4 linked regions of the Rhinolophus ferrumequinum genome follow. The protein of the gene in region 1 purifies or fractionates together with the protein of each later gene. This does not show direct contact. Links are inferred from orthologs where the notes say so. Each region holds a gene or a part of one and is shown in the gene's direction. Other genes may lie near its edges.

Region 1 (6,946 bases):
AGATAGATACAATAGACATAAATGATGTCAAGAGCATAGATAATAGTGAAACATAGCATAATAATTAAGGTTGTTTTGAATATTTACTATCCTTTAAAATATAAGTTATTTGAGTCTAAGTTTATATAATTCAATTTTTAATATTGGCTGTGTTTAATAAACGAGTCACAAAATTTCTGAAAATTCAACAAATCGCTCCTATCAGCCAATAGGAGCCGGCTCCAACCCACTGCTTCTTACTCACTTTCATCAATTTAGACACGTGATAATGTTTCAGAGGAAACAACTACATCCTCATGTTTTATAATCGGATTTGAGGTGGTAAGAAACCTTACTTTACGCATCTCTCCTACTTTGCCCTGTTCATCTCTCCCATTCGGCTTTTCCTGAGTTGTACCCTTTATAATAAACGAGTAATAAGCTGTTTCCTGGTAGTGATGGCAATAGGGCTCATGTCTTTGCAATGGCTCAGGCTCCTCCTTAGTGTGCCTTTCTCCAGGTGTGTCACCAACTGAAGGCCTTTGAGAGTTTTGTTTGTGTCTTAATTCTAGTGGGATGCCAACACCAGGGGGATGACTTGGGTCCAACGCCAGCCGATGAGAATCCTGTAGGTACGTGCAACAGTCTGACACTGACATTAGCTTAGTTTTTTCTTTGATTTAGAAGGAAGGCATTTCAGAGTCTCGCAGCCCTTCCTCAAGGCTTATTTTGAATGAATATCATTCACTATTGTTCTGATAGGAATATAAACGATGCGTTGAGGAATATAAATGATGAATAGCAATAATTATTGCTTGGATTACTGTTACTTCGTTGACTTTGGGTTTGCAGAATGGTTGAGAGAAGTTTGATAGGGAAGGGATTATTTTCTTTCAAATACTTCCTACGTGAACTCTGGTCCAGTAGCCTGGTTCCCTTATCTATGAAACTGAGTGTCTGCCACGTGCTGATCCTTGGTGTTGGTTACTAGAATAAAACTAGTTCCCTATGAGATGCTTTGGAGTTTTTCAAGAGCCTTTACATTTGTCACAGAGGCACAGCAGAGTGGTTCAAAGATGGACTCAAGTCAGACAGACCTGGATTTGAAACACCACTTATAGTTACATGACCTTGAATAAGTTAGTTAATCTGTTTCTCAGTTTCCATAAAAACAGTACTTCCCAATGAGGATGTTAGCGTGAATGTTAAATGAGATGATGCACGAAAAGCACAAGCATGGAGCTTGTTAAACAGCAGGCTCTCCATTCAAACAAACAAACAAACAAACAAACAACAAACAACCTTGATGTAGGGGGCAGGTAATGCTATTTTCCCATCGGGATGAGTCAGCTAAGAGGTTAGTAACTTCCCCAGGGTCACACAATCAGCAAAGGACAGAGGCTGGACTGAAACCCACACTGATTCCTTTACAGCCTGTAGAATGGTGACTTTATTTAGTACACACACACACACACACACACACACACACACACGCGCCTCAGAATAACAAATGGGAAATGCTTTCTATGCTGTTCAGTCACCTTCTTGTCCCCCAGTCCAGTGTGTCAAAACTTAAAAATTTTCCAGGCTTATAACTGACTGGTTCTGCCAGGCTTGACAGATAAATTATTATTCTTGCCATAGCTTCTTCATCTGCAAGATGGTGCTAACGAAACTGTCTACTAGTTAACATGGGGATTAATTACATCTTTGCAGTGTACTTCGGATTTCTTGAAGAAAGATGCCACTTACGTGGCAGGCATCCCACTAGGATGGTGTTCCTGTATGACTGTTGTGACAGAATGACATTTGAGTCATCGGCCTGTCAGCATCACTAAGTAGTACAGTGCTAAACTCAGTGCTAGGCAATTGTTGCCTAAGCTCAGTGCCCTTAATTGTTGGTCTCCCTCCAATTTTTTGAAGGCCTGCTTTTTTAGAGAGAGAAACAAAAGGAAATATATTTCAATTACAGCAAGAAAGACATAGTTCAGGTCATCTTTTCTAGTTGTCAATCTTTCTAAAATGTTTGACATTGAACCGGCTCTTTTCGGAACAAACGTTTCTACAGATTTTTAAAATTAATTTTTAAACACATTGTACACACAGTTGGGACAAAATTTAAAAGGATATGCAATAAAATGTCTCCTTCCTACTCTAGTCTTGCCAGCCTGAGTTTCCCTTCCCAGAAGTAACCACTGTTTCAAGCAAATACTGTGTGTGTATTTGTGTGTGTGCCTTCTGTGCAATACAACTGTGTAAAAACATAGTACACACATTGTACTATAACTCTTCTATTCTTAATGCTCTGTGTTGTTAGAGAGCATTCCGTTTTGGGGTACACAAAGTTATTTTTTTCTAATAAAGTTTGCATAGTATTTTATTGTATGGATAAACCATAGTTTATAGTCAGTTTAGTGACAGATATTCAGCTGTTTCCAATCTTTTATTTCAAAAAATGCAGCAATGACTATTCCTGCACATTAAAAAAAAAGTTGGATAAGAAAACATGAAATAGAGCCATTTGCAACAACATGGATGGATTTTGAGATTATTATGCTAGTGAAATAATTCACACAGAAAAAGTTGAGAACCATATGATTTCACTGATATGTGGGATATAAAACTGAAAGCAACAAAGGAACAAGATAAACAAAGAAACAAAAACTCACAGACAATTTTAGTGGTTACCAGAGGGTAAGGAGGGAAGGGGATGGTAGATGAGGGTGAACGGGGTTATATATATGGCATTGGAAGGAGAACTGACTCTGGATGGTGAAAACACAATGTGATATATAGGTGATGTATTACAGAATTGTACACTTGAAGCCTATGTAATTTTACTAACCATTGTCACCTCAATAAATTTTAATTAAGACAAAAAGTGGGAGTCTACCTAAAGCTTAAATGCCCAGCAATTCATTTAAATATTGCCAAATTGCTTGCAGTACCAACCTACGTGTATATCCTCATTAGTAATTCAGGAGAGTGCTTATTTCCCCACACCCTTACATATCCCCCTAGAATTTAGCTTGGTATCATTGTTTGATGTTAACCATTTTATATATAGCCCTGCTGTGCTTTGAGCCTACCAAAGCAAATTTACATTTTACCAAAACTCCACCTTTCCTTCTAATCCACCTAATCCACCTTTCCTCCTATCCTCTTTTGTTTGGTGAGATGTCCCAGGTTCCTCTGGCTTCATAGAGCTGACTCACTCTGTGGATTACGGGTGTGTTCCTAGAGGTCGTTACTGGATGGCTTAATCAATCTTAAACTGTAGGACCTACATCTGAAAACAATAGGAAGAGTTCTACTCCATATCTTTTTACAGATTCTTTCAAAAACAAGATGATTGTCATTTACCTGTAATTTAAGTTCTTCCTGATGAACTAGTTAAGATAATTTGTTTTCAGTTCCTCCAGCATTCCACATTAGTTGGAGTGGCTGTTTTCTCAGCATAGAAAACTCCCCAGATCTTTGCCTGGGGGGGCTCAGTTCAAATGTCACCTCCTGCGAGTTCTCCCTGACCATTCTCATTTAAAACAGCAATTTCTCCCCACACTCCCACATTTCCACCCCACTCTACCCCATTATCCTATTTTATTTTTCATATTTTTCTCATCACTCTGAAATTATCTTATTCAATTGTTTATTATGTGTTTAATCCCATTAGAATATAAGCTCCAGGAGAGATGGTACCACAACTCTAGTCGCAGTACCTCCGGTGTCTAGAACCCTAGCTGGCACTTAGTAAGCCCTGAACAAACACTTGTCGAATGAATGGACAAATAAGGAACTATGTTCTTTATTTTCCTCCTTCCCCTTTAAACACGCTCAGAGTGGACCCACCTGAATGCGTAAACCAGGCGGAGGACGTTCAGCCTCGCCATTGGCTGGAGTATTACCGTTGCTCCTGGCAACCACTGTTTCCCACCAGTCGTGTCGCCACCCCGCCGGGCCCGGCCTCTCATCGCCCCGCCCCCAGACCGCCGACCATCGACCCATTGGTAAAAAACGATGCTTGCCCTTTAAGCGGCGGGACTTCTGGTCAACGTCGTTCGCTAACGCCGGAAGGGGAAGTTTCGCCTCCGAACGCTCCCTCGCTCGTCCGAATTCGGTGGCGCCACGTCCGCCGGTCTCCGCCTTCTGCACCGCGACACCTGCCACTCGCAGAGCCGGCCGCGTCGTGAGGGGCCCGGGACGGGGAGTCGGGCGGCGGTGCGCATCCTGGCCACCTAAGAAGCGAAGATGTCGGACATCGGGGACTGGTTCAGGAGTATCCCGAGCATTACGCGCTACTGGTTCGCCGCCACCGTCGCGGTGCCGTTGGTGGGCAAACTCGGCCTCATCAGCCCGGCCTACTTCTTCCTCTGGCCCGAAGCCTTCCTCTACCGCTTCCAGGTACCGACCGGCGACGCGGGGAGTGGAGACTACAGGTCCCAAGCGGGTGTCCGCTGGCGTAGCGTAGACCAGCATGTTGAGGACACGCGGTGCCTCTTGGGATTTGTAGTGCGACCGCTCAAGCGCTTTTGGGCGGGGTCCGGTGGTCTGGGGACGCGGTGGCGGCCAAAGGGTTTGGAACAAGGGCCTGGATAGCTGGAGGGGTGGGGACGTGGGTTTGGCCGGGTGGGAAGGGACTGATTTAGTCCTGCTATTAAGACTGTGCTCCCTGGCCTCTGCACGCAGAGGAGGCAGTGGGAAAGGAAGTCTGTGACAATTGTCAATCTGTTGTACGGTCTGTTCTACTAGTGGTTAGCAGCCTGGGTTTACTTGGAGTAGGTGCCCTCTGACCTCTGCCACGTGGGTGGCATAAGGCTGTCAACTTACCCAACCATCCAGCTGAGTTCCTTTTGTGTTGGTGGAGTTTTTTTTTTTTTTTTTTTTGTTTTTGTTTTTCCTGTTGGAGTGATTTGAGGTCAGAGGTGCAAAGAGTGAGTTTGTTTATCTGCATTTCTCCCAGACCCTGACTTAGTGTCTGGCACGTAGCGGTTGTATGTACAAGGAATGAGTACAGAGTTAATTGCTCCAGAAATGGAAGGCCTTGTTATTTTTTTAAGCATGAAGGAAACCATCCACATTTACATTCCTGGCAAGAGAATATTAGTTTCCTGGAGGTTGTCTTTACTCACTGGATTCTGTGATTTAAATCTTTAATCAGTGGCAGGTCAGATACTAAGAGCTGACATTAATTTCAACACATAACGTGGCCTATAGATAATACTCGCTCGTTGGCCTCTTCACTGGCTGTTTCCTAGTCTCCTTTGCTGCTGCTTCATCTTCCTGACCTTTAGATGTTATGATGAGCCCCAAGGATCAGTTATAGGACCTCTTCTTTACATGCCCCAGAGCTGTACGGTGATCTCGTCTAGCTTCATGGCTTTGAAAACTTTCTATAAACTGAAGACTCTCAAATACAAATACATGTATTTTTAGTCCAGATTTAGCTGCTGATTTCCAGCCATCTATTTGAAATTACCGCTTGGGTGACTGATAGGCACCTCAAACTTAACATGGCTCAGACTGGATACCCTTTTCCCCACTGCACTGGAAGTAAATAGAAACTGCATTATTACAGGAGCTCAAGCTAACAGCCATGGAATCATCCTTGACTTCTCTTTCTCACACCCCACCGTCTGGCAGTAAATTCTGTGTGCTTTAGACATAGATCCCGAATAACAGTCACTTGTCATTCACCATTGCTAGCTATTATCATTCCAGCCTGTTCCTTTCAATCTTTTCTCTAGACAGCTGGAGTGATCCTTCTAAAATATAAATCAAGTCTCCTGTAAGTCCTCTGCCAAGAACCTTCCAATGTCTTCTCAACTCATTGAGTAAAATCCAAGTCCTTTCAGTGGCCTGCAAGGCCCTCTGCTTCCTCTCTGCCCTCATCTCCTGCTACTCTCCGCCTTCCACGTTAGGCTCCACCGTGGAATCCTTGCTGTCGCTCCGGCAGCTGACTTGGTCTCTTGATCTCTCGCCAGGGCTGTTTGCACATAGCATTTCTCTGTTTGAGGGAGCTAACCACGGCTTACCTCCTTACCGCCTTCCTCTTTTCCCAAACCATCTTATTGGCAAGGTCTTATTTGATTGCCCTACATAAAATAGTACCCATCTTTCACTGAGTCTCCCTTACCCTTAGTAGTTTTTGCTCTCACTCCTGGCTTGGTATTAGTCCATTTCCCTTTAGAAAATACGGCTCTGTGAGAGCCAGGTCTTTCCTTGCTGACCACTATCTTTGTTACGTAGAATAGTGCCTGGCATAGCAGGTACTTACGTGTTGGTTGACTGCATGGAAATAATTGGAGGTACGATAGTGAATAAGCTGGAAAGGGTCCCAGCTACCAAAGGAGGAAAATGAGAGAGGCATGTGATAGAGAGTGACTTAAGGGGTGTATCATTTGGTAGCGTGTTCCAGAAAAGTCTCAAAGAAGATACCTGAACTGAAACTGGATGATGAGGAGCCATCTTTGGGAAGACCTGGCTCTAGGGACAGTCTTTTGGGAAGAAGAAATAGTCAGCTTAGAAGCAGGTGCTGGAAACAGAAAGTAGACTGGATAGCGAGGACAGAGTCAGCTGTGGGGGTGGGGATTGGAGATGAAGACGCAGAGGCAGCCAGGGGTGGGTTTAGTAAAGCGAGGATGCAGAACTCGGCCTGGGGCTCGCTCGCATAGGGCCTTGTAGTTTGGACTGGATTTCATAGTCACCAGGAATGCTTTGGAGCCTTCAAACAAGCACTGCCAAGTGGGATGGACGTGGGCTGTGGGAGAGGGAGGAATCCAGATAGGAAGTAAGAGAGATGGTGTTTTGGGCCAAGATGGCTGTGAAGATCGAAGTGGGTCGCTTTGGGAGTTGGAGTGGGCACGCTTGCAGCTGAATGGATGTGAAGGGTGAATGGAATGGGTGCAGGAAGCAGGACTCAGAAGGTGTCACTGTTTTCCCAGTGGGTGATGGAGCCCCGTACTCAGAT
Region 2 (7,416 bases), on another chromosome or scaffold:
AGCAGCTCGGCCATAGGCCAGACCGGCCTGCTCTGGGGGTGTTCTTGGGGCTGGGTTTCTCCATCACCTCCGGACACGCTGAAGTTGGGGTCATCCAGCTTGCCCCAGTCCGGGTCATAAGACCCCTGGGGAGGGGGAACGGGACCTTCACCCTCCTCCTCCAGGGCCTTTTCCTGCCTCGTCTCTGGTCTTGGGAGAGGCTGGGGGTCGGCTCTCTTCCCCAGGTCCCTGGGTGGGGGTGGCCTTTTGCTGGTGGCATTGTTAGAGAAGTCACATTCTAGCCTCCTGGGCTCACTCCTTGAAGAGTCGACCATCTGGCCCTCGGCCTCTGTGTTCTGAGAACTTGGGGGCATGGCCAGGGCTCCAAGCAGGCCTCCGAGGGGGCCTTCTCTGTGGGCAACTTCTGGGTGAGTACCAGGGGGCAACACGGCCTCGGCTGATGAAGCAGCGGCTCCGCTCGCCCTTTCTCCTGTGGCTCTTTGAGGCTCCTCCGTTCTGCCTTGGACTCCCACCCTGGGAGGATCTTCTAGGATGTCGGAGGCGGGTGCAACGCTTTTCTCTAGGAAATCACAACTACCGTTGTCCTCCAAGCCTTGCACAGGGCTGGCAGACATTTGTCCTGCACATGCCACTTGGTTTTCAAGACTCGCTGGGGTCTGGGGAGAGCTTGAGGGGCGCAGGCTGGCCTGGGCTGTGGAGGTGGGCCCACTGGAAGGCCTGTCCTCAGAGGCGGGTCCCAGGTCCTCCGGGAGGGGGGTGGCATGAGCTACTGCCGGATTCTGAGGGGTCCCGTTGGTCGTTTTGGTGTCCACTTCCATGGGGAACTGTTGGCTTTTTAGAAACAGACTTAGTTAACACCAAGGAACCTGTTTTAGTTTTCTGTGTAGCTTTCGGTCCACACTGAAAACATTAGCTAAAAACAGCAAAAACGAACATTTAGTCAACCCTCTCCTTGTTACACAAGCATATTCCCATCAATTGCTGCTGGGGGCCACCTAGGGCCACCCAGGTGACTGAGAGACAGGGCAGGGAGGTGCTACACAGGTGACCACGCTGGCCTATTGCCCCGTCGGTCGGGGGTCCCCGGCTACACAGTCAGGGACGGTCATGGCACACGAGAGTCAGCTCCTCACTGCAGAGAGAGGAAGACAGGGGCTGCCTCCAGCCAGGTCACCTTCTCGGGGTCCTCTCCTGGCCCCCCCATGCCTCTGCTCTCCTGCCCTTGAGCAGGTGGGACCCTGAAGGGGAGGCAGCGCCAGAGCCACCAACCGGGTTTCCTTTCCGTCTTGGGTTGTTACAAACAACAATATTTGAATGACTCTAATTTCCTTCAGTTGAATCTCAAAAGGAAAACCACAATAGTGAAGTTGAAAAGTAGCACAGAAACCTGGGGAGAGGAAAAGATTGATTCAAGAAGCTTCCATGGGGAGATGGCAGCAGGGCCTTGTGGGCGTTTTACTTAAGTGAGGAGAAGGATATGTTAGTGATGCTTTGCTTGTACACCTTTCTCTGTACGTCTGAAATCTGTATAAAGGCAAGTTTTGAACAGTTTAAATCTATAGAAGTCAGCTCAAAAGTGTGCCAGTGAGGCCCCTCCCCCCTATCAGCCCACTCTGGGGGTAAAGAGCTGCCTCCAGGACCCTTCTTTCCAAATACCCAAGCCAGACAGTGAATGCCTGGCGAGGCCGCCAAGAAGCTTTTCCTGGTTAAAGTCAAGTGTTCAAAACCCAATCCCTTCGGCCACTTGTATTCTGACCAGATTCCACGACAGACACTCCTCTGTCTCCAAAAGGAACACCTATCTCTACGGCCTGATATTAAGAACATGGGGCAGGGGAGACCCCAGTGGAATGCAAAACAAGAAAACCACAGCATGTCTTTCCTTGGAGACATGGTCAGGACACTTCAGGAAGTTAGAGAAGCAACAACCAAGGCCACTTTGGTGGCAAGGGCATGACAGGGGAGTGGCATCTGAAACAAGCTCACTATCCACCTTTCCACTGACACATGACTTGGTGCCGACTGCTCTGGGCCACGCGCTGCACACACTCAGAGTGAGACCAGGAGAAGCCCCACAGACGTGACAGATAGCCAACAGCGTTTTCCTGCCAAGTCATCAGAGATGTTGCAGTACATCAAGAGCACCGACACTTACTTCTCTTTCTCGGTCCAGACTTGTGAGTTTTCTAATCCAATGGTGTCGCCCACACCAAAGCAAGCCTCGAGTTTGCTGCTCATGCGAGGACTTAGAATCCTGTGTGTCTGTGGGTCTCGCAGAGGTGTCTGAAAAGTCACCTGTTGGGGAGGGCGGAGAGCACCTGTTCAATAGTTCAAGTTTCCAACCACCCCGCTGGCAGTGCTGTGTGCCCCGCCCGCTCAGTAAGTCACCAGGTCCCAAAGTGACACACGGTCGGTCTCATATGGGTAAAACGTTTACCTTCATAGCTTTGGCTATGCTCTTGGGCGGCACATTTTCTTTCTGTGACACACAGAGAACAGAGGATCTTCCGGTAAGTTCCAGTGGTGAAAACAGGAAGTCGCAGTTTTCTGTACTTCTGTCACCAGTGACATTTTCGTCATTGAAGATTTGCAGACTCATTCTGGAAACACAGTTTCTGTCAGCTTGAGGGCTGCGTCGTGCAGACGTGATGACAGCTGACCCTGCAGTGTCACAGGGAGATGCACCCGTCCAGCACAGGAGGGTCACACCTCAGGCAGCGTGTCCTCTACCAGTCCCTGTCCTGCTTTGGGGGACTGTGGCTCTTTAGCTGGGCTGGGGAGCTGCCACCACCCAGGACCAAGAGCTAGAAGGGCCTTCAGCCCACAGGGTAAGGAGGAAGAACGGATTCTCGCACTAAGTCAGATTTGGTGGGTAAGGAGACAGGTAAGTGCTGGCCTGGAGAAACTGCAGGAGAGGAAGGGTGGGGCTCCCCACAGGCCTCCACTCAGGGGGCCGGGGCCTCATCAGGGCTGGAGCAGGTGGCCAAGTCAGCAGAGAACAGAAAAGCAGAAGGGTGCTGAAGCTTGCTCCGTCACCCTCACGGGGCTGGAAAAGGGGGACCAGAAGAAGGTGTCAGGAGGGCAAAGGCCCAGGGGAGGAGTTGGAGGGAACAAGCAGCCACGGGCAGAATTACTCAGCAGGGCATTGAAGACCTTCTATATGAGGTCCTGGAATCTCAGAATCACACCAGGGGCCTCCAGTCAGGCCCACAAGGTTCTAGAACAGCCCACTCTTGCCAGAGTCTTCCACACGGTCACGGCCATGACTCCCAAACTAGGAGCTGCCATAGAGCTGAGCACCGACCTGCTCAAAGAGCACTACCGGAACTTGTTGATGGTGGGGGCCTTGGGGGCTGCTGCAGCACGGGGGCAGCCTGGAAATCAAGGTCAGAGTGGGAGGTGGGCAAGACCAGGGGCCCTGGAGGGAGTAGGAGCGGGGCCCAAGCCGAGGGGCCAGCCCTGGCGTGGCCAGCAGGCCCACCGCACTGTGCAAGAAGAAAGACAGGAGACAAGGGTGACTGAGGTTTCTGGCCGGTGTAACCGGTATAAGTGGGGGGGAGGGGGCAGTACAGCGATGGCGGCCTCTATCAGGGCTTTGGCTTCTACTAACGACAGAGACCGCGGGAGAAGCTCCCGAGCAGAAGCTGCCTGCGTGGAGTGCTGTGGTGGGGAGGGCGCGAGCCCAGGTGTCGCCGTGATGGAAATGGCTCCCAGGTGGGCCGCCCCCAGAGAAGGGAGGCAGGCCAGGCACAGCCGGGAATGAGAAGTCGGGTGGGGGACCAGCAGGGGGCTGCGGGCGGGGCGGAGATGTGCCCTCGCAAGTCGCCGCTACAGGTGGAATTTGAGGCTGGACGAGGTCTCCAGGGGGACGCAGGAGGCCTGCGGCCCGTGCCCTACGGACGACCCTTCTGGAGGGCGACCAGGAGACGAAGTAGCCGGAGAGCGTCGGCCGGGCTGGTGGGATGAGGACCAGGGAGATGTGCCTGGAAGGGCGGCGGCAAGGACGGGCGGCGGGGACCGGGAAGAAGCGGCCGTGCCGGCGGCGGCCCACGAGGAGTAGCCGCGGGAGGGGCCGGAGAGGGAAGTTAGCGACAGGGGTGGGGGTCGGCCAGCGCCCACCTGACGCCAGAGGGACCGGAGGGACTTCGCCGCCTTACCTGCCGGCCGCCGCACGGAGCAGACGGAGCGGGAGGCGCGGAGTCCCGGGTGCGTCCGCCCGCCGCCGATTCAAATACCGACGGTTGGCGCGCGCGGCCAATCAGCTCGCGGCCGTGGGCGGAACGCACGGGGCGCCAGCGGCCAATGGGAGGCCGCGCCGTCGGTTGCGCTTCCGGGGCTAGGGGCACGCTGGGCGAGGCGGGAGTCGGAAAGCCTCCCGGACCTTGGCTCGCCGAGCGGGCGGACGGGCGACGGCTGCAGGCCCCGCCGTCGACCAGAGCTCTCGGGCTCTGCTGCGGACGTGACTGGGTTGAGCGGAAAGGGGGGGCCTGAGCCGCTCGTCCGGGTCTCAGTTTACCCAGCTGTAAAATGGGACCAGGTACAGCTCCGCCCTCAAGGCGGGGCGTGAGGAGGAGCCAAACCCTTGGAGGACTGGCGGGCGGGTTCACAGATTACGCCAGTGTGCGGGGCGGGGGAACTCCATTTCCCGGAGTGCTCCGCGGGGTCTGCGTCTCCCAGAGCGCCCAGCGTTGCCCGGGGCGGTACTCCATTTCCCAGAGCGCCCCGCGGACGGGAACTCCATCTCCCACAGTACCCGGCGCCCATCCCCCGGCGCCTACGGGACCCGGACGCTCGGGCCTGTTCCCCGCGCCGTGGGCGGCGGCCTTGCCCCGACGGCTTGGTGGTGCCGGCGGCGGCGCGATGGACAGTCCCGAGGTCACCTTCACGCTGGCCTACCTGGTGTTCGCCGTGTGCTTCGTGTTCACGCCCACCGAGTTCCACTCGGCCGGGCTCACGGTGCAGAACCTGCTGTCGGGCTGGCTGGGCAGCGAGGATGCCGCCTTCGTGCCCTACCACCTGCGCCGCACGGCTGCCACGCTGCTGTGCCACTCGCTGCTGCCGCTGGGTGAGGCGCCTGATGCTCTTGGTCATTGTTCCCCTGGTGGACGGAGGCAGCTGGCCGGGTCAAGGGCTCGCGTAGCCCAGCCCCAGGGCCCCTGAGGTGGCTGGGTCGCGGGGTCACCTCCCTCTGGGGAATAGTCAGAGAGAATGCCGGGAACACCGGTCGCCCCGAGAGCCGAGGCTGTGGGCCGACTGCCCGTGTGTTTACAGCCGGCGACAGCTGGACGTTTGCAGGTGGCAGAGCCCTAGAGGGGATGTTTCCCCCAGCTGGGGCAGGTCGCCAAATGTTACGTGGGTGGCATTACCCAGGAGAGGAGCACAAATTAACTGATTCCAACACAGGGAGGAGGTGGCCTTGCCCAGGCCATGGAAGGTGGGTGTGGAAAGGGCAGGCAGAGATGGTTGACACCACGTGAAGGTGTCACAGGTGCAGAGACTGGAAAGCCTGTGTTTGGCCAGTATGCTCAGTGGTTATCCAGAGACTGTGCTGGGCGCTGACCCAGGTGCTAGCTGGCCCATGGGAGGCCAGTCTGTCTTCCGGTTGGTCGGGGGACTGGCTAAAGAGTGGGGTACTAGTCAGGATTTCTGGAGGACATGGCAGAAGCAGGTCTGGGACAGCAGGTGGCTGGTGGCCGGCCCCACCTGCAGCCCTGTGGACACAGGGAGTGGTTTTCACCTGGCAGCTGGGCACAGCAGTCCTGCGGACGTGGAGAGCAGCCGGAAGGGGGCTGGGCTGAGGCTGCAAGTGCATGGGGGCTGTCTGTGGGAATCCAGAATTTAGGTGTCTGCATGATTAAGGTGGCCACACATGGAAGAGGTGGTGAAGCCTGGTGGTGCCCAGACACAGGGCTGTTTTTAAATTCATTTTGAAAAGCTTTGAGGCTTCTAGATCGAACACCTATTGCAACTTAACAAATTATCCTAAAAGGTAGTGACTTGACCGACAGCAAACGTTTACTATTAGGTTTGCAATCTCAGACCTGCCTGTGCAGCCGCTCGCTATCTGCTTCATTCATTTATTTGACTTGCAGATGGCCCCCACCTGGCCTGCAGGGGCCCGGGCACTGGCTCCTGTGTTCTTTTGAGGTGCCCCCATCCTTCTCTGCTTACTGTCTGGCACATGATGGGCCAGCTTAGGATAAGCCTCCTCAGAGGGTGTGGGGTCAAGAGGCCAATGGGGGCCAGTGGGCAGCTCTGCAGAGGGTGACACCAGATCCTAGTATTTATTTTGCCTTTCTAGGTTTTTCTAGTTTTCCGTACTCACGTATTGTGTGAAAATTAAAAATGCTTTTCCTTCACTTATTGTGTCAGTGCCATGGGCAAGGGCTGAACCTGGCCAGCCGTGAGACTCACCTGGCCTCGGGTACACAGCCTCACCTTGGGAGCTGACCAGGGCAGAGTGCCAGGCCCAGGGCTGGGGACGCAAGGAAGTGGCCCCCTGGGTGGTGCAGGGGCAGCACTGCAGCTCTTGGTGAGCACCACCAGGGCAGGGCGAGGGCCTGGCATGCGACCTTTGCTGAGGCCGCCCCGTCCCTTGCAGGCTATTACATGGGCATGTGCTTTGCAGCCTCGGAGAAGCGGCTCTACTCCCCTAGCCAGGCCCCTGAGGCCTGGCAGCTCTTCCTCCTGCTGGCGGTGACCCTGCCCACCATCGCCTGCAGCCTCACCTACAACTGGTCCCGGGACCGGTGGGCCCGCCACCCACTGGCCCGCACCCTGGCCCTCTATGCCCTCCCGCAGTCAGGCTGGCGGGCTGTTGCTTCCTCAGTCAACACTGAGTTCCGGCGGATTGATAAGTTTGCCACTGGGGCGCCGGGTGCCCGTGTAATCGTGACGGACACGTGGGTGATGAAAGTGACCACATACCGTGTGCACGTGGCCCAGCAACAGGATGTGCACCTGACTGTGACAGAGTCACAGCAGCATGAGCTGTCACCGGACTCAAACCTGCCTGTGCAGCTCCTCACCATCCGTGTGGCCAGTGCCAGCCCTGCCGTGCAGGCCTTCGACATCAGGTAGGCACACCTGTGGTGGGGCAGGGCGGGCTGGGGCTCACGGGCGGGCGTGTGCCCAGCTTGTGCCCCATTCCGGTGTCTGTGTCCCTCTGGGAGGTGGTGATGGGTGGGAGTGGCTCCTCCAGTGTGACCCTCCCTCAGGGCCCCTCCCTGGCCCCCTGCCCCCCTCTTGCCCCCACAGGTATCCTCCGCTCCCCTTTCATGCACGTTGTCCTCTGAGCTGCTTCCATAGCTTCTCAGGGGAGCACACTGCGACATCTGGGAGCTGGGCAGCACAGGTGTGTTGCTGCCTCACCTGTGGGGCCTGGGCTGGAGCTGAGGTCCTCCATCTCTCAGGCCA
Region 3 (8,013 bases), on another chromosome or scaffold:
GCATGACTAGGCTCCCAGAAAACCTTACATGTGGACACTGAAAACTGAATTTCATATAATTTCCTTGTGTTACAAAACATTATGCTTCTTTTGATTTTTTTTTTGTCTCAACCATTTAAAAAACGTAGAAACCATTCTCGACTTGCCGACCTTACAAAACAGGCAGCAGGTCGGATGGGCCTGCGTTGTGAGCATCTCGCTAACTCTCTGTGCCTCAGTTTCCTCCTCATCTGTACTAAGGGGGTATTAATGGCACCCACTGAATGCCATTCAAACAGCGCCTGGCAAACAGATAGTATGTGCTCAAGAAATATTAGCTATGATGCAGATAGGCCACTCAGTGGAGTCAGTTTGGGGATTTGTATTGCAAAACGAAAGCAGTGAGAGACTCGTTAAAACCAAGCAAACAGAAATGCTTAAAATCAACAGGAAAAACAACAAGGTGGATCGAACCATTGCAACCCAAGGTCCGAGTTGGGCAAGTTTTAAGAGCCCTATTGCTCTCTATTATCTGAGCCACCCACGTAGGGCTTCTATTTCTGAAAAACAAGTCCCAAGGTCCTTGGGGGGTCTCCCACAGCTCCCCAGAGGGTCGTTGATGCCATGTCTTGGGACAGGAGAAAATGCAGATGGGCCTGGGACACATGTCATTGCTAGAAAACAAGCGTGTGCTTTCTGAAATGTCAGCAAAGATTGCTGAAAGGTGAAAGAGATAAAGGATCTCCTATTCATCAAAATATGACAACTTGAGCTTCTAAAAGGAAATATCAGAACTAGTTAAATAGGACAAGGTCAGTCTCCTAAAAATTGAAAGTCCATAATGGCCACAATGGCCCATAAATTCAAAGGGGTAAAATTAAAGTGTAGAAAAGGTTAGCTTTATAATAAAAACATTAGTGCTTTTTTTTTTAATTTTAACAAGTAGAGGATGAAGCTAGAGATGCGTTCTATTCCTTCTATTAACTATAATGTCGCTTCCAGTGCATAGATTTGTCTTCTTATTCGCTGAGTAAGGATGAGGAATGAAGACAACACGCTGTGAATTAGCCAAATAGTTCAGAAAAAGCAAGAATCAAACCACACACAGGAAGTGGCTCCAGAAGAAAGAGGAAGGAAACAGGGCCCACTAGGGGGATGCAAGTTGCAAGATTTGCAACAAGTCACGAGAAGATGAACCAGTGGTGCAACTTCAATTCATCACCTGGAAGTTAAAAGCTAGAACCTTTGACTAACGAGCTATGAGAAGACAGACAGTGTCGGTTATGCGAAAAGAGCAGGCCTGGTGTTAAACACTTCACAAGCATCCCCTCATAAGAACTCTAAGAGAAAGACTCATATTATCCCCATTTTACAGATGTGAAAGCTGAGGCTCAGAGAGATGAAAGGAAGTCCTCCTCTGAATCCAAGTTGGCCCGGCTCCATCCACCCCATGCCCAGTTCGGCCCTCTGGACCTCACACATGCTCAGAAAGATGCAATTGCACCTGGGCCTGTGCAAGCTCTTGGTCCCGGGACAAAGAGTGCTGCCCCCCAAATCTTCCTCCTGCTCAGTCCCCTGAGACCCGTTTGAAAGGCTTCCCAGGCCCAGGACACATTCCCAAAGAGCATACCGTGGTTGGCATTGACTTCGGGCCCATCTGTGCCTGAGGCCGCCCTAACTCTCGTCATCTCATTGACTCTTTGCAGTCCTGGTAGAAGTAACCATTCTTCTCACAGATGAGAAAACTGAGGCCCAGAGAGCTAACGAGGCTAAGACCTCACAAAAAGAGAGTGGTGGAGTTAAGGATTGAACTCAGGTGCTTAGCAACCAAGTCCACACCTGCCCCATACTGCCCCCTGAAGAAGAGAGCCAGTGCCTGGAGGGGCAATCCCATAATGAGCATGGGGGATCCAAGAGTGGGGGTACATGTGGCATATCTGTGTGTGTGCATGGGACAGATTGGCTCCCGCACTCCCCAGGGAAGTCTGCCAATGGGTACAGCACCCCTAAAGTTCACCATCGCTCTCCTGACCAGTCCAGGTCTCTGGTCCCTGATGTGCTTAGTCCAGGGCCCCTCGCACATTTCTCCCCTCTCTTCCTGTTGCAGAGCTCACGCCTCAGCTATCAGGTTTCTCTCCCTCCTACTCCCCTCTCTAGGCAGGACCTATGGAGGGGAAGGGTGTCCCCAGGTTCCCATTATTTACAACCAGCCTACAGGATCTTCCTCTGATGCATTCACTCCTAGGGAATTATTCCAGACGTTGCAATTGACGATTCCAGAAGTAACCGAGGGGACAAGACATTTCCTACCATGCTTTGTGGTTCATGGGACACAGTGGCTTCAAGAATGGCCACTGGGTTCCCCCACCCCAGGAATTTTGTGCCTTCTCGGTTCCCAGATCCTCTCACCCCCTTCTTCCCAGGACGTGTCCAGGAGACCTCTCTGCAGAGGAACGGGGAGTGAGGGAGTGTGAGGATGAGGGTAAGGAGGGGCTGAGCATAGAGCCCTTGACTCAAAAGGGACAACCCTGAGCCCCTCACTTTCTCCAACTCCTCCCGCCCCCTCATCTTTCTTCATTCCTCCTCCAATGTTCTGCACTCCCGGTGATGTCTTGCATCCCTTCTGTACCCAGCCAGGGTCTGGGACACACACAGACCCCTCGCAGCCTCCATGGGGCTCCCATTGGGCAATTCAGAGGTGGCTCATCCTCTTCTCTCTACAGCTGGCCCTGGAAATCTGCCAAGATGCTGGTGCCAGGCCCTGGGCAGGAGGGGGATGCCTGTCATCCCCATTAATCCTCTGAACTGGGTGCCACCATCCCTCTTGCAGAGGAACTAGGTGACTTGTCCTGGGTCACATAGGCCAAACAGAGCAGGAATAGCAGGTGACACACAGGACTGCCCGGGCAGGGAAGGGTCACCTGATAGCTATTGGCAGCTTTGTGCAAGGCAGCTTCCTGCCCCAGTTCCCCGCCCCTCCCAGACCTACTGCCCCCACCGGCCACTCCTTCCTCCTAGGCGGCAGAGACTGGGCACTGTGCTTGGGGCACGTGTGGCCTGCGTGCTGCAGCCCTCAGCACCCCAAAGCTCCAGAGGAAGAGGAGGAAGAGCAGGAGGTTGGGGCGACAAGAGGCGTGGCCACCACAGCACTCGGAATCGGAGGTAGAGGGAGGACAGCCCTCCTCTCAGTCCCCAGGCCACTGGGCTGAGGGGGCCGAACTTGGCCATAGCCTGGACAGTGGGGTGCTTGCTGTTGTCCATCCAGTGCGAGCGGTGGGAGGGGTAGACAAGCTTGGAGAAAGGCCAATGTACAGATGGGGAAATTGAGGCACAAGGAGGAGAAGAAATGCCCAAGAGGTGTGGAGGGTGGCCTCACCTCAGCCACAGCCTAGCTCTCTAAGCTACAAATAGATGTAGAGCTGTGGGGGAGACGCCCATTCAGCCAGCTCAGGGGGAAGAGTTGGGGCCCTGAAACCAGATTGTGGAACTGGGCAGTCGGGAGGGGATGGACCTCTCATGCAGTCGCTCAGTGCAGTACACTGTGAGGGGGTGTGCACCACCCCCATGCAGGAGCAGAAACGAGCTCAGAGAGGGACGGCTCCCCTCCCTCACGCCCTCCGCTGGGAGACCCCCTGGCACTGGGGGGTGGGGTGGGCGTCCTGTGCACACCAACACTGGGCTCTGAGCTCATTTTGAGCTGCTGCATTTAATCCTCATAGCAGCTCGACAAAGTTAGTACTGTCGTGATCCCATCATACAGATGGGGAAACTGAGGCACAGGGAGGTTAAACAGCTTACCCGAGATCTCATGGCCCATGAGTGGGGAGCCGGTTCCCTGGTCTGAACCTGTGTGCTAGACGAACCTGCAGGTCACTCACCTGGCAGAGTTCCACAACTGAGAAGGGAGACAAAAATGTACTCACCCATGCAGTCATTCAACAAATACCTGTGGAGTACACACTATGTCTCAAGCAGGTGTGGGTGTGGGGAGGGGGTACAGAGTGCGATGTGGTCTGCCTTAGGTTTTTAAAGGGATCGCAGTCAAGTGGGGCCCTACTGGCCTCAACCCTGCACCATCACCCCCGACCTCCACCAGGGCCCCTAAGGGCCTGCAATAGAGCTGGACCGGGGCCACATTCCTGAGGAAAATTCCAGCAGTATGTGGATCGCACTGGTCTGCCAGGAGCCACATCCAGCGGAAATAGACAGGTCTGAGCCTGGCGGGGAGTTGAGCCTCCTCTTGCCCAGAGAAGCATGGAGAGCAGGGCTTCCAGAGGGTTGTGTAGACCAAAATAAAGAGCCTACTGTGGCACTTTACATAAGCCATTTTGTGTATCCCTGACAACCATGGTACCGTAGGAAGTAGGACTTCCAAACCCTGGTGGTGCAGGTGAAAACACCCTCTGGTTCAGAGAGGTAAAGCAGTGTGCCTAAAGCAGCACAGCTCTTCTTTCTAAATGTACTCTCTGACCCCTGACCTGTGCCCACGGCCACCCAGCCTAAAATGGCTACGTCCCCGTCAATCAGACCCCCCGTTTCAACTCAAGGAAGTTGAGTGAGGTTTTGTATCTGACTTGGAATGAATAGCCTGTGTGTTATGGGCCTCAGTTTCCCTGTCTGACAAGTGGGCACATCACCCATTGCAGCCGCCACCCCTCAGCCCCCCCACACACATACCCACTGCTCATGGCAGCAGTGCGTCAGCAGCAGCAGGTATTTCAAGGCTGCTCAGTAAATGGCAGCTCTCGCTACCAATAAGGCAGCCATGGAGAACTCCCCAGTGCAAATGTAGGGCCAGGACAGTAATGTTGTCCCAAAGTGCCTGACTCACGCCACCCCCACCTTGGATGCAGGATGCCGCGATTTACGAGCGGGACAATGATTCCCTTTGGTCTGTGGAGAACGGGCTGTGCGCTGTCCAGGGAGAGCACATACAGGCAGCGTGGGCGGGCAGCTCATTGTCAGGAGGACGGACTTAGGCCCTGTTTGCTCCTCCGATAACTGGGTTGACCTTGGTTAATGTTCACCAGCAGCCTCCCCCATCGCGCCTCTGGGTCCACTGCTTAAATACAGACGAGGACAGGGCTCTGTCTCCTCAGCCTTGGTCACCAGCCCCGGCCCAGGACAGTGAATCGTAAGTACGTATGCCTTCTGCTGGGGAGAGTCTCCGGAGGGGGCTTCGGGGTCCCTGCATACCCAGGCAGCACCCCACCGTCACCCCCGCCAGAGATGTATGGAAAGTGGAGTGGGGTGGGGGGGGCTCCTGTCGTCATAGCAATAGCATCCTTGAAGATCTTCTCCTGCTCCCCAGAGCCTGCCCAGGGCCTCCCCAGTACCTACTGGTGAATAAACTGGCCCTCGATAAGCAGAAGTGGAGGTGGCTGTGGATAAGCAGGCTGTGGTGTCCTGGGACCCAGGAAGGAGCATGTTTCTGTTGGCAGAGCTGCACCCTTCCTGCCAGTCATCTCCAGTAGGCCTCCCCTCCCCTACTGCTTGGCTGGGTATCTTTTCCTGTGCTACAGATGAGGAAATTAAGGCCCAGAGAGGGACAGTGGGAAGCCCAGGCTACTGAGGGGAACTGGTGGGGAGGCCAGTCCAGACTAGAAGCCCAGAGTCCCAGCTGCTCATCGGGCCTCCATCCTCTGCAGAAATGCTCAGAACGGAGCTGTGCCAGGCTTCAGCCTGGAGGGATCAAAATGGGCCTCCCTGTGCACTGGCCCTGGGTGTCCTCATGCACAGAGCAAGATGGGAAACGCTGGGAGGGGCACCATCATGGGGGCGCCGAGCGGTGTTCCTGAGCCCTCCCTCTGACCAGGTGGCTGCTAGGCTTCTTGTAAGCAGTCCCACATTTAAGCCCCACAACAACCTTCTGAAGTAGTTACCGTGGTTACTCCCATTTTATAGATGAGGATAGAGAAGTTTATAACTTGCCCCAAATTACAGACCATCCAGGATTCAAACTCGGGGCACTTAGCTCCAGCACTCATACTCCTGATCCACTTCTTACTGCGAACATTAATTCTCTGGGGCCTTGGGCGCCATTTGGGACGCGGGAAGCCCGGGCTGGCCTCGGGCCTCACTGGTGCTGGGCGGTCTCAACTTCTCTTTCCTCTTAGGCAATAGATAGATAACCTTTGCCCTCTTTCTTCTCACCCCAACCCACTGGCCTTGACCTCTGGAGTGTTGAAGGATATGATTTCTTTTTTCTGTCATTGGATTTTGGAGCTAGTGCTACAAAGATGACCATAGCCAAGGCAATTGGACTCCCATATAGTGCTCTGAAAGACCCACAACGAAATCAATATCAACTGATGCTTCCTGAGAGCTGACTGTGTGCCAGGCATTTCTTGGCACTTTGCGCATATTTAAATTGCACAATAACTCTATGAGGAAGTACACCCTTATCATTTCCAGAAAACTGAGGTTCAGAGAGGTTAAGTAACTTATCCAACATCACACAGCTGATAGCACGTGGAACACGAGCATTCTGGCCTCGTAGCCTCTGAGCTTAGCCACAAAGCAATGCTGCTCCTCTTGATTTAGCCAGGACACCTCTGCATTTTTCTGTTTCAAGGCTTCTGGCTTCAGCTTGATACATAGAGAAAGGCTGAAAGCCAGGTTCTGAAATTGAAATGCCTAGGGTTCAATCCCAGCTCTGTAAGCAACTAGCTCCATGGTTTTCAGTAAGTTACTTAACCTCTGTAGGCCTCAATTTCTCCATCTAGAAAACGGGGCTAATAATAATTCCCACCCAAAAGGGTAAGCTTTGAAGGAAGATTAGATGAAACAGTGCATATCAAGTACCAGATATTTGCGAAGTGTGATGATGACGACAGTGATGTGATGTTTGCCGTGCATAGCGTTTGGCAGCTAATAGGCAATAAATAAATATTTAGAGGATTGAATTTAAAATTTTCCAAACTCAAAGGTGGTTCATTGCTGAGCAGGGGCTCCTTCTCTGGTCCTGGGCAATGTGGTAACTGGCCAGGAAGAAATCTGCCAGTTCTCAAGCGTGGTCCCTGCCTGTATGCAGGTATAGGGAGGCTGCCATACCTGGTAGGTGCCATCACCTTGTTTGTTTCTCACAACTGCCCTGTAAGAGATTCTTTTCTCCACTTTACAAACAGGAAGATGAGGCTCAAAAAAGTGAAGTCACTTGCCCAAGGCACTTGCCTGTAAGTGGCAGAGCTGGGTCACACCTGGGCTTATTAAATGCCAGGTTTCAGCAGGTTGTGACCTCATGCACAGTTGTTTCCCTGAAACCCACTAGGTCACCGTCAGCCACTCGTTTCATGCTTCTGGGTGGACACGGTATGAGATTAGCCAAAAGGGATGGTTCCCTTCATTCTACCCTACCTGCTACAGACTCTGGAAACATCATCATGATGTCTTCATTCCTTTGCTTCATTCCTTTGGTCCATACACCTCCGGATGCCTCACTTCTACTTTCTCATCTTGGGGTGGCTTCCCTGGCACTAGGCTTTGGGGAGGGTGTGGGGTGCTGCCTTTGACAGAAGGGCGAGGAGAGAGCAGAAATCTTGGGCCCCCAAAGTTGTAAGAAACAGATTGGGAGGCAAAATAAAGCCAACAGGAGGCTGAAGGTCAGGGTCCCTTAGGGCCCAATGCTGACAATCGTAGAATCTGAGACCTGAGGACATGGCTGTCTCAGTCTGTAGTTCAAGTGGCGAGAAAACCAAGGCTTGTTCCAGCTTTGTCACTGCCTCACTGTGTGGCCTTGGCAAGGCCCTGACCGGCTTTGGGCTTCACACCCCTTACTGTAGAGGGAGGAAGCCGGAGCGGGTGATCTAACACCCAGGAAGATGGACTGGGGGCAACAAGCGCTCGCCCAGTTGTAGCCGCTCTCCACCTCAGCCTCACGGCAGGCTTGCCACCTTCTAAGTGAGAGGGCACCTCACCACATCCTTCCCCATGGGACGTCCCAGTCCAGTTTGTGCCACCTAACCTGGCTGCCCCTCTCATAAAGCATCCAACGTTAGTGCCCAGGACTTCAGTTAGGTCTATCCCCACCTTGAT
Region 4 (7,734 bases), on another chromosome or scaffold:
TGGGTATGGAAGTACCAAGAGACGTCCCAGTGAACCCGTGGGGCTCCAGAGAGACTCCCCCCGACTCTTGTGGTGGAACAGCAACCCTGGCCCCTCATAATCAGGAGCATTACCACACTGCCGGTGTGGTAACCCCGCCATCTCCAGGCATAAGGAGCCCAAAGTGTCCAGAAGGTAATCACTCAGTTCAGTGGCAATCACACTACGTCCCCTGGGACACGTGCTCCCTCCTCCCCTGAAGCAGATAGAGTCTGAGTGTGGGGACAATTTAAATGCATCTGGGTTATTTAAACCATCTGTAAATAGGTCTCCTGCTTTTCCTCCCTTTCCCATCCAGCTAACTGAGGTGTTGTTTGAACTTGTTCACAGTGTACAAATCATGTAATTTTTTATGAACCTGGGGTTTTGGAAGAGAAATAAAATATCTCTGCTTTAAAGGACAACTGTTATCAGCATTCTGTCTCCCATCGTCCAAAACTGAGGTGGTCCTTTTATCTTTTGATTTGAGATGCTCTAAAGACCATCCCTCTCTATCCCACAGGCAGTAGCTATATTTCCCGATTTAGTTCCCATGGCTTTACTCTCATAAGTCCACCCACACTCGTGAGGTCTTTGCTCTAAGGATCTAGCCAGTCCCAATATTTATAGACCTTGTACTCTGTACCCAGTGCAGTCCCTAGCCCTGGGGACTCAGTGGTGGCCCAAGCCAACTTGGCCTCTGTTCCCTTCATGGAGGGCAGAGCTGGGAGACAAACGGTAAACTAGATAATATCATCTAGTGATTTAAGTGCTTTGAAGAAAACAAACGTTTAGGTCTCCTCTGAGGATGCAGCCTACACATGCTGAGATCTGGATGTCAAATGGGGTCAGCCCTGTGAGAACTCCAGGAAAGTGCTCCAGGCAGAGGGTACTGCAAATGCAAAGTCCCCGAGGGATTATGAGAACAACAAGGCTTGCAAGTAGCGAGTTCCCTGGAATGAGGTCAGAGGATCGCACAGGGCCTTGTAGGCCCTGGAAAGGAGCTTGGGTTCTATTCTGAGGACAACGGGAAGCCAATGGAAACTTCCGAGCTGGGGAGTGACAGGATCTGATTTACTTGTAAAAAATGATTTAATCCTTGCCATGACCCGTGAGGTAGGGACTATTAGTCTGTTTACAGCTGAGAGATGAGCAAACTGAGGCTTAGAGAGGTTTCCTTGCCAAAGTACACAATCAATTAATGGTGGCATCAGAGTTTGTCCTCAGGTCTCCCTGAAGAACATGAGATGGGCTTTGTGACTTATTTAAGGCAGAACTTTGCCTCCAAACCTTACTTTGTGTCATCAGCCTAAATACCCCTAGCAGAAATCTAAGGATCTATCATATAGTACTAATGAGTGTGGGGATTCCCTTTCTCACTTCTGCTCCTACTTTTTTGGATGAATTTAGTTGAGTCACCTTAATTCCTGTTGGCTTCACTTAACCTATAACGAGTAACCTAATGGGGCAGGAGGCCAAACGAAAACTGTTGCTGACATCTCAATGGCCTGCAATGAAGAGGCCACGTCCCTAACTGACAGGAAACACTGTAAGTTCCAACTGCTCAGAAATTGAGAGCTTATTCTAGGATTTCCAGGACTCCGCAGGACAGAATTTGTCCTTTATTAGGAACAAAATGGTAAGGTGTCAGCAAAGCCTTATTAATAGGATTTGAGAAACATATATTCATTAGATTCTCGGAGATACCTCTCAGTCACAAATTCCAGTGTGTTATAGGCATAAAATTGGGACTCAGAAACCTCCCCCATACACACACATCCTTCCAGAGAATGATGAGATTAATTTTCAATTAAACTGTGTGTTCTTACAGGGCAGCGGCTGTGTCCTGTTTATCTTTTGTAGTATCTGGTCCAGAGCCATTCAATAAATATTTGTTGAATGAATTCCTAAAATCTGTGGATGAATATAATTAATATATCTATTAAAAAGATCTTTGGAATGCTCTAGAACTGCATTTACAATACAGTAGCCACTATCCATATGTGGAAATTGAGCACTTGAAATGTGGCTAGTCCAAATAGAGATGTGGGGTAAGTGTAAAATACACACCAGATTTTGAAGGCTTAGTATAATACACACACACACACACAAAAGGTATTTTGGATACATTGGGTTAAATCAAATATATTACTAAAATTAATCTCACCTGTTATATGTGGCTCCTAGACTATTTTTAATTATGCATGTGGATATTTTATATTTTGATTGGATAGCACTGCTCTAAAAGACAAAATAAAGGCCAAGGGCGAAAAATGCTCGCAAAGGAGAGATCAAGCCTATAATTGATGACACTTTCCATGCTCTTCATCTTGAATTTATCAAAAAAATCTTAGTTTTCTTCCAAGGCATGTGTGGACTCCCATGGCAAAGAAGGATTCTGCTCAGGTCAGAGGGGCAGACTGGAGCTCATGGGGTGAAACGTGGCTTGCAATTATGGCTGACTGACAGTACTTTTCCGAAAAACTGAGTTATCACCATTTTAAAGCAGGGAGATTTCACATGCATACCCAAATTCGTCGGTGCTCTTTAAAAATGAGAAGTTCTGGCAATACTGGTCTCACACAGAAGCCATCAGCTGCCACTAAAACCAGAAACCACTTTTGCACAGGGAAGGGATTCCCCAGTTTGCCATTTTGTATGCCCTACACTGAGGCAATTTCTTGTGGAAGAGTCAAAAAAACAAAACAACAACAAAAAGGAAAATTGTTTGTTGTAACTTTGTCTTTATTCAAGGAAGAAAACAGAAATGTAGAACAAGAACAAGTATGTGTCTTTGAGAAAGTGAAAAACATCCAATGGTGTTTAATGTAAGTACAAAGTATGTCTGTTAAAAGAGTACACCTTAAATTAGAATTACGCAATAAATCCAGAAGGGCATCTGACTTTGCCATCCCGCCCCCAGTTTGTCTGGGTTGAGCATTATTGGAGATGTTGACCAGTACGTCTCCTCAGATGTTTTGAGTTGATGTAATAAATTCTTTAAAGTCACAGCTATTTACATCCAATTTTACCTTAAAGGTGTAAGAAAAATTCCAGGACATGGAGGTTTGTGCAGACCTGGTAAGACCTGACACAGGCCTGAAAGGAAGTAACCAAAACCTAATGTACTTTTCACAAGACTTAGCTTTCAAAGCTCTTTGTCCTATCTCACCTGGTCAATCCTGTGAAGTGGGCAGGGGTGGGATTCTGCAGATAGTGAGGACACTGGGGCCGTGCTAGTGATACGGGCCAACGAATAACCCCCCTAGGCCCCCCCACTGAAACACTTTTTTTCTTTCCTATAGAAATTTTAAGTTTCCTTTTCCCCAGGTTTTTAGCTCCTACCCCTGCTTTAGATAATTACCCTAAAACTTGTGATTCATACTTGTTGAGTGTAATCCATTCTCTGTTGCTCGGGTCCGCTCCTATTTCTTTGGAGTGTACTATGGTTTCTAATAAACTATTCTTTCACCATTTTATTTCTGTGTCTCGTTCGTGCAATTCTTTGTTCGAGTCGCCAAGTACCCTGGACACCGCGCGGAGAAAAGCCAACTCTCCCCTACCCCTAGGAGTCACAGGAGGAGTCTGTGGAAAAGCATGCGTCAGATCCCGACCCCTCTGTCTCCCCAAGGTCTCCGGACAGTGGCCAGAGGAGGCGGATGGCAGGAGAAAAGAGGTGGAAACGCAAAAGGGAGACCTAAAGAGAGGGGGCAGGTTGGAAGGGACAAGGAGCGCGCAGAGGAAAGCAGACATTGAGGTGTGGGGTAGGGTTAAGGCCGTGCAAAGGGTGAGGGTCGGACTGCATTCTAGAAGGAATGCGCTGAGGCCGCACGTCAGGGGCTACTGGGGATTCTCGTTCCACCAATGGCAACACGGAGCGCAGAGAGGAGGTGGTGTGCCCAAGATGTACATCACTTTGCAAGGTGGGCGCTAGCACTTGAACCCAAATCTGATCCCAGTCCCGGGATTTTATTTAGGTCGGTCACAGGGAAGACAGGCCAGTGGGCGAGAGACGCGAGGCCTGGGGCAGCAGGAGCAGAGTCGCACGGGGGTAGACGGAAAGCTTCGCCCAAGGCTGGTAGGCCAATTAAACATCAAAGACCCAGGTGGCCAAGTCCAAATAATCCTGGCAATCAACTTCCATGCAGCGATTTTCCCGCGGTCCCAGCCTTCAACGGCTTCGGACTTGAAGGCGGCGTCGGAAATGCGCAACCAGTATTCGGGGGCTTTCGGAACCTCCCGAGAGATGGTGAGGAACTGTTGGAAACGTCAGGGCAGGAGTCAAACATCAAACGATATTTCGGAAGGGCCACAATTTCCTTAGAAACATTCAAGAATACCGGAGATCCCCGGAAAACGTTTAAGAGGCAGCCGAAATCTGCCGATTCGGGAATTTCCGAAGCTTCTGTGGCATTCGGGAATTTCCGGAGCTTCTCGAGAAGCATTCGGGACTTCTCGGCTCTTTACGATCTCTTCAGGAGTCTTAGGTCCTTAGCAGATCCCTTCTTTGTCCAGGTTGTGAGGGCGACTGGTCTCGACAGGCCCTCGGCAATTTCCGGAAGTGTTCGAGCTAGGTCTGAGAGTGGCGCCCTCTGGCGGTAAGAACTCTCACCACCCCCCACACCCCACCACCCCCTTCTACCCCCTCCTTGCTGGGCCAGGACGCGCAGATGCAGTTGCGCGCCAGCGGCTGTTCCGACCGGATGTGGTTGCTGCTGAGATCAGTTCCGGCGAGTGACGGTGCGGACGGGTCAGAAGCGTAGAGGCGGCGGCAAAATGGCGGCGCCTGAGGAGCGGGATCTAACCCAGGAGCAGACAGAGAAGCTGCTGCAGTTTCAGGTAGCAGCGAATGCTCGGTGCAGCCAGTGCCGCCGCGGGCTGGGGAGTGGGCCCCCAGAGGAGCCCAGAACCCTCCTGAGATTGGGTCCGAGCTGCTTCTGAGACCAGCAGGCGGCCCCCTCCCCCCCCAGACGCCAACTGCCCTGCTGCCCCTGGCCCCCGAGCCTCTGTCGGTTCTCGGCCTTCAGCCTTGGCTGCTGCCATACCCGCCTTTCCCCTCTCCCGTCAGCGAGTCAGCTTCCCTGATGTCCCTTAGCGGCACCCGTCCTCCGCCATCCTTCCCCGGTCGGACACTCTGCCCAACGACTCTGAATCTACCTGAGATGCTTAATCCCCACCGCGGAGTTGGCCTCGTTTCGGGTCCCTGGAAAACCTGCTGCCAGCATCCCATGCCATTTCCACAAACATTTACTGAGGGCTTCTTAGGTGCCAGGTTTTGTGTTGGGCGCTCTGGTGGGGGAAGGGCGGGCCTGGCTCCCGCCCTAAAGGTGTGGGAGGACACCATGTAAGGAGACAAGTGCTACGTTATAAATGTCATCAGTGGCTTCTGACAGGGTTTACTACCCTGGGCTTAGTCCTGAAGTCACGTGCTTGACTGTGCTTGAGGAGGATGGTAACTTGCAGAAATCGGCCTCAGTGGGTGTGGAGTTGAGAACTTCTGGCACTAAGCACTTTTCTCTGAGTTTGATGGAGAATCTGGGTGGAGGAGACCACCAGGGTGGGTTAACCTTGGCTCTTTGTTACCCTGATACCAGTTTCCTTATTGTTTCTAAAATATACACCTTAAAAATGTTTGCTCCCTAAGGGTGTTCTGGAGATTTAATGAGTTTATGGATGTCTGAAGGACTTTGTAAACTGTAAAATGCTCCCAAACAGTATTGCTGCTTATTAATCATTATTTAACTTAGGAAAGAATTAAAGTTTGTGGTACGTTTTTTCCTAATGTAAAAATGTGCTAAATATTTATTCGTTTCAGCAGTTACTTACCAACAACCTTAGTGCTCAGGCACTGCTAGTTAGTAAGTGGTGGTGTCAGATTTAAAGCTGGGTCCATCTTTCTAGAACCTTTCCTGAGCTCTTGACTTGTGTGCTATACAACCTGGATAAATATCAGTGTTCAACTGAGTGTGGACTGCAAATGCTGTGATACTGGGTTTTTTGTTTTCTTTTTTTAACAACTTCTCACTTTTCTGTAATTTCCTTGATTTTACCGTAATTGATTTTGAAGTGTTTTTTTCTCTTCAACTGAGTAGTGATATCTGAAACTAATAGAATATTGTGTGTTAATTATACATCAGAAAAAATGAGCAGGGGGTTGGACGTGTACCTATAAGTGGAAAAATACTATTGGAAGTAGTTGACATTTGATTGGAGTTTTGAGTAGAGAAATGGATGACACGGTAAATTAGAATCAGAATGAATAAACAGCTTCCACTTCCTGGTAGACCACTAATTGCAGAGTTTTGTTTAACTTTGGCAGATCGTTTTACCCACTACAGCGTTTCAGGGATAAGACCCCTGTTGTTAAATGTAACGTGGTGCTCTGAGTTGTAAGTCATGATGTACTTGGTAGTATGCTGGTGGGAGAACATGATTACGTGCTAGCATTTCTGAGATAAAGTGCATAGGAACCTCTGTTTTAGTCGTCATCGGACATCTCTCAGTAAGAGAGGCGAGTAGCAGGTTAAAGTTGAATTGAGATTGCGTTATGAAATTGGATTTAATAAGGCAAATGTATTTTACATTTATGTGTTCTTTAAGCAGTTGCTGGATCAGGTTCATCATCCGAATTGCCATTAAACGTTCTTTGAAATTTACTAGGTGTCAAGCACTATACCAGGTATTTGATGTACATTAACTCTTTCAAACCTCTTAAAATAACACCATAAGGTGTTAACCGCGTCGATTTATTGATGAAGAAACAGGCTCTGAGAGGTCAGGTAGCTTGCACAAGGAGTAAGTGGCCGAGAGTTAGAGATCCATACCCATAACCATCTGTTTGGTCTACAAGCTAATGGAGAAGCCACATACATACATGAACGAGTACCGTGCAGTGTGTTAGTGCTCCTAGTGCGGTATGGTGTAAACTAAGCGCTGTGGGGATTTAGGGAACGATAGGAGCACTGGTGGGGGTAAGGGGGCAAAGAAGGATGGCTAATAGTTAATCAGTATCTCCTGTGCCTTTGTGCTTGTCATCCTCGCAGTAGCCTTGCAAAAAGTGCCGTAAGGAAACAGATCTATTGAAATATTTGCTTAAGGTCACTAAGCTATTAAGTAGTGGAGATGGAATTAGAGTTAGAAATCTAGTGGTTCTGGCTCTGGACTTCAAGGCTGGGCTCTTTGCACCCACTGTACTTGGCCACTTTGAAGGAGGAACAGAATTTCAACAGGTGAAGGACATGAGGAGAGGATTCATAGCTGAGGAAACAGCTCAAGCAAGGTGTGGAGATGGAGTGTGGAATGTGTTTGTTGCGATGGGTTTCTAGAAGTGGAAGTGGAAAATAAGACTGGAAAGGTAAATTAGAGCCAGGGCCTCCAAAGCCTTTGAAAGGTTTAAATTTTAACCTGTAGGCATGGGAGCCATCACAGGTTTTTTTCAACTCGGGAGTGACATAACACTAGGTTTCAGGTTTGCTTCACTAAGAGTGTGGGGCATGCGCTTGGAATCCCCACAGGGGTTGGGACAGAACAGAGTGAAACTGCTAGGAGCTGGTTCTCAACATGTTGCTTCATTTGATATATTGAAATTAGTAAAAGTAAAATATTTTAGAAATCTCAGGTTTCGTCTCTTTCACATTTTTGTGACATGTGGTTTGATTGCAACTCCCTAGGATATGTTTATCATGCTTCTCAGTCCGTTTGATGTCTTCCAAGATT

What was found.
Region 2: the proteins of DERL1 (region 1) and TMEM129 purify together in Homo sapiens (affinity purification with western blotting; 3 studies listed by BioGRID). This does not show direct contact. The link is inferred for Rhinolophus ferrumequinum from reciprocal best matches to the Homo sapiens genes DERL1 and TMEM129.
Region 3: the proteins of DERL1 (region 1) and SERPINA1 purify together in Homo sapiens (affinity purification with western blotting; 4 studies listed by BioGRID). This does not show direct contact. The link is inferred for Rhinolophus ferrumequinum from reciprocal best matches to the Homo sapiens genes DERL1 and SERPINA1.
Region 4: the proteins of DERL1 (region 1) and FAF2 purify together in Homo sapiens (affinity purification with western blotting; 4 studies listed by BioGRID and IntAct, with this or other methods). This does not show direct contact. The link is inferred for Rhinolophus ferrumequinum from reciprocal best matches to the Homo sapiens genes DERL1 and FAF2.

Annotation. Positions count from the first base shown.
Region 1 is NC_046297.1:60,505,730-60,512,675, reverse strand, and holds the start of DERL1 (derlin-1), read left to right. Parts: upstream 1-3,944; 5' UTR 3,945-4,227; coding exon 4,228-4,380; intron 4,381-6,946. UniProt on the Homo sapiens protein: Functional component of endoplasmic reticulum-associated degradation (ERAD) for misfolded lumenal proteins. Forms homotetramers which encircle a large channel traversing the endoplasmic reticulum (ER) membrane.
Region 2 is NC_046288.1:87,241,125-87,248,540, forward strand, and holds the start of TMEM129 (E3 ubiquitin-protein ligase TM129), read left to right. Parts: upstream 1-4,415; 5' UTR 4,416-4,527; coding exon 4,528-5,065; intron 5,066-6,601; coding exon 6,602-7,076; intron 7,077-7,416. Other genes in the region: TACC3 (transforming acidic coiled-coil-containing protein 3), read right to left, coding at 1-831, 2,156-2,295, 2,438-2,599.
Region 3 is NC_046289.1:8,778,388-8,786,400, forward strand, and holds the start of SERPINA1 (alpha-1-antitrypsin), read left to right. Parts: upstream 1-5,009; 5' UTR 5,010-5,117; intron 5,118-8,013.
Region 4 is NC_046307.1:6,067,500-6,075,233, reverse strand, and holds the start of FAF2 (FAS-associated factor 2), read left to right. Parts: upstream 1-4,731; 5' UTR 4,732-4,794; coding exon 4,795-4,857; intron 4,858-7,734. UniProt on the Homo sapiens protein: Plays an important role in endoplasmic reticulum-associated degradation (ERAD) that mediates ubiquitin-dependent degradation of misfolded endoplasmic reticulum proteins.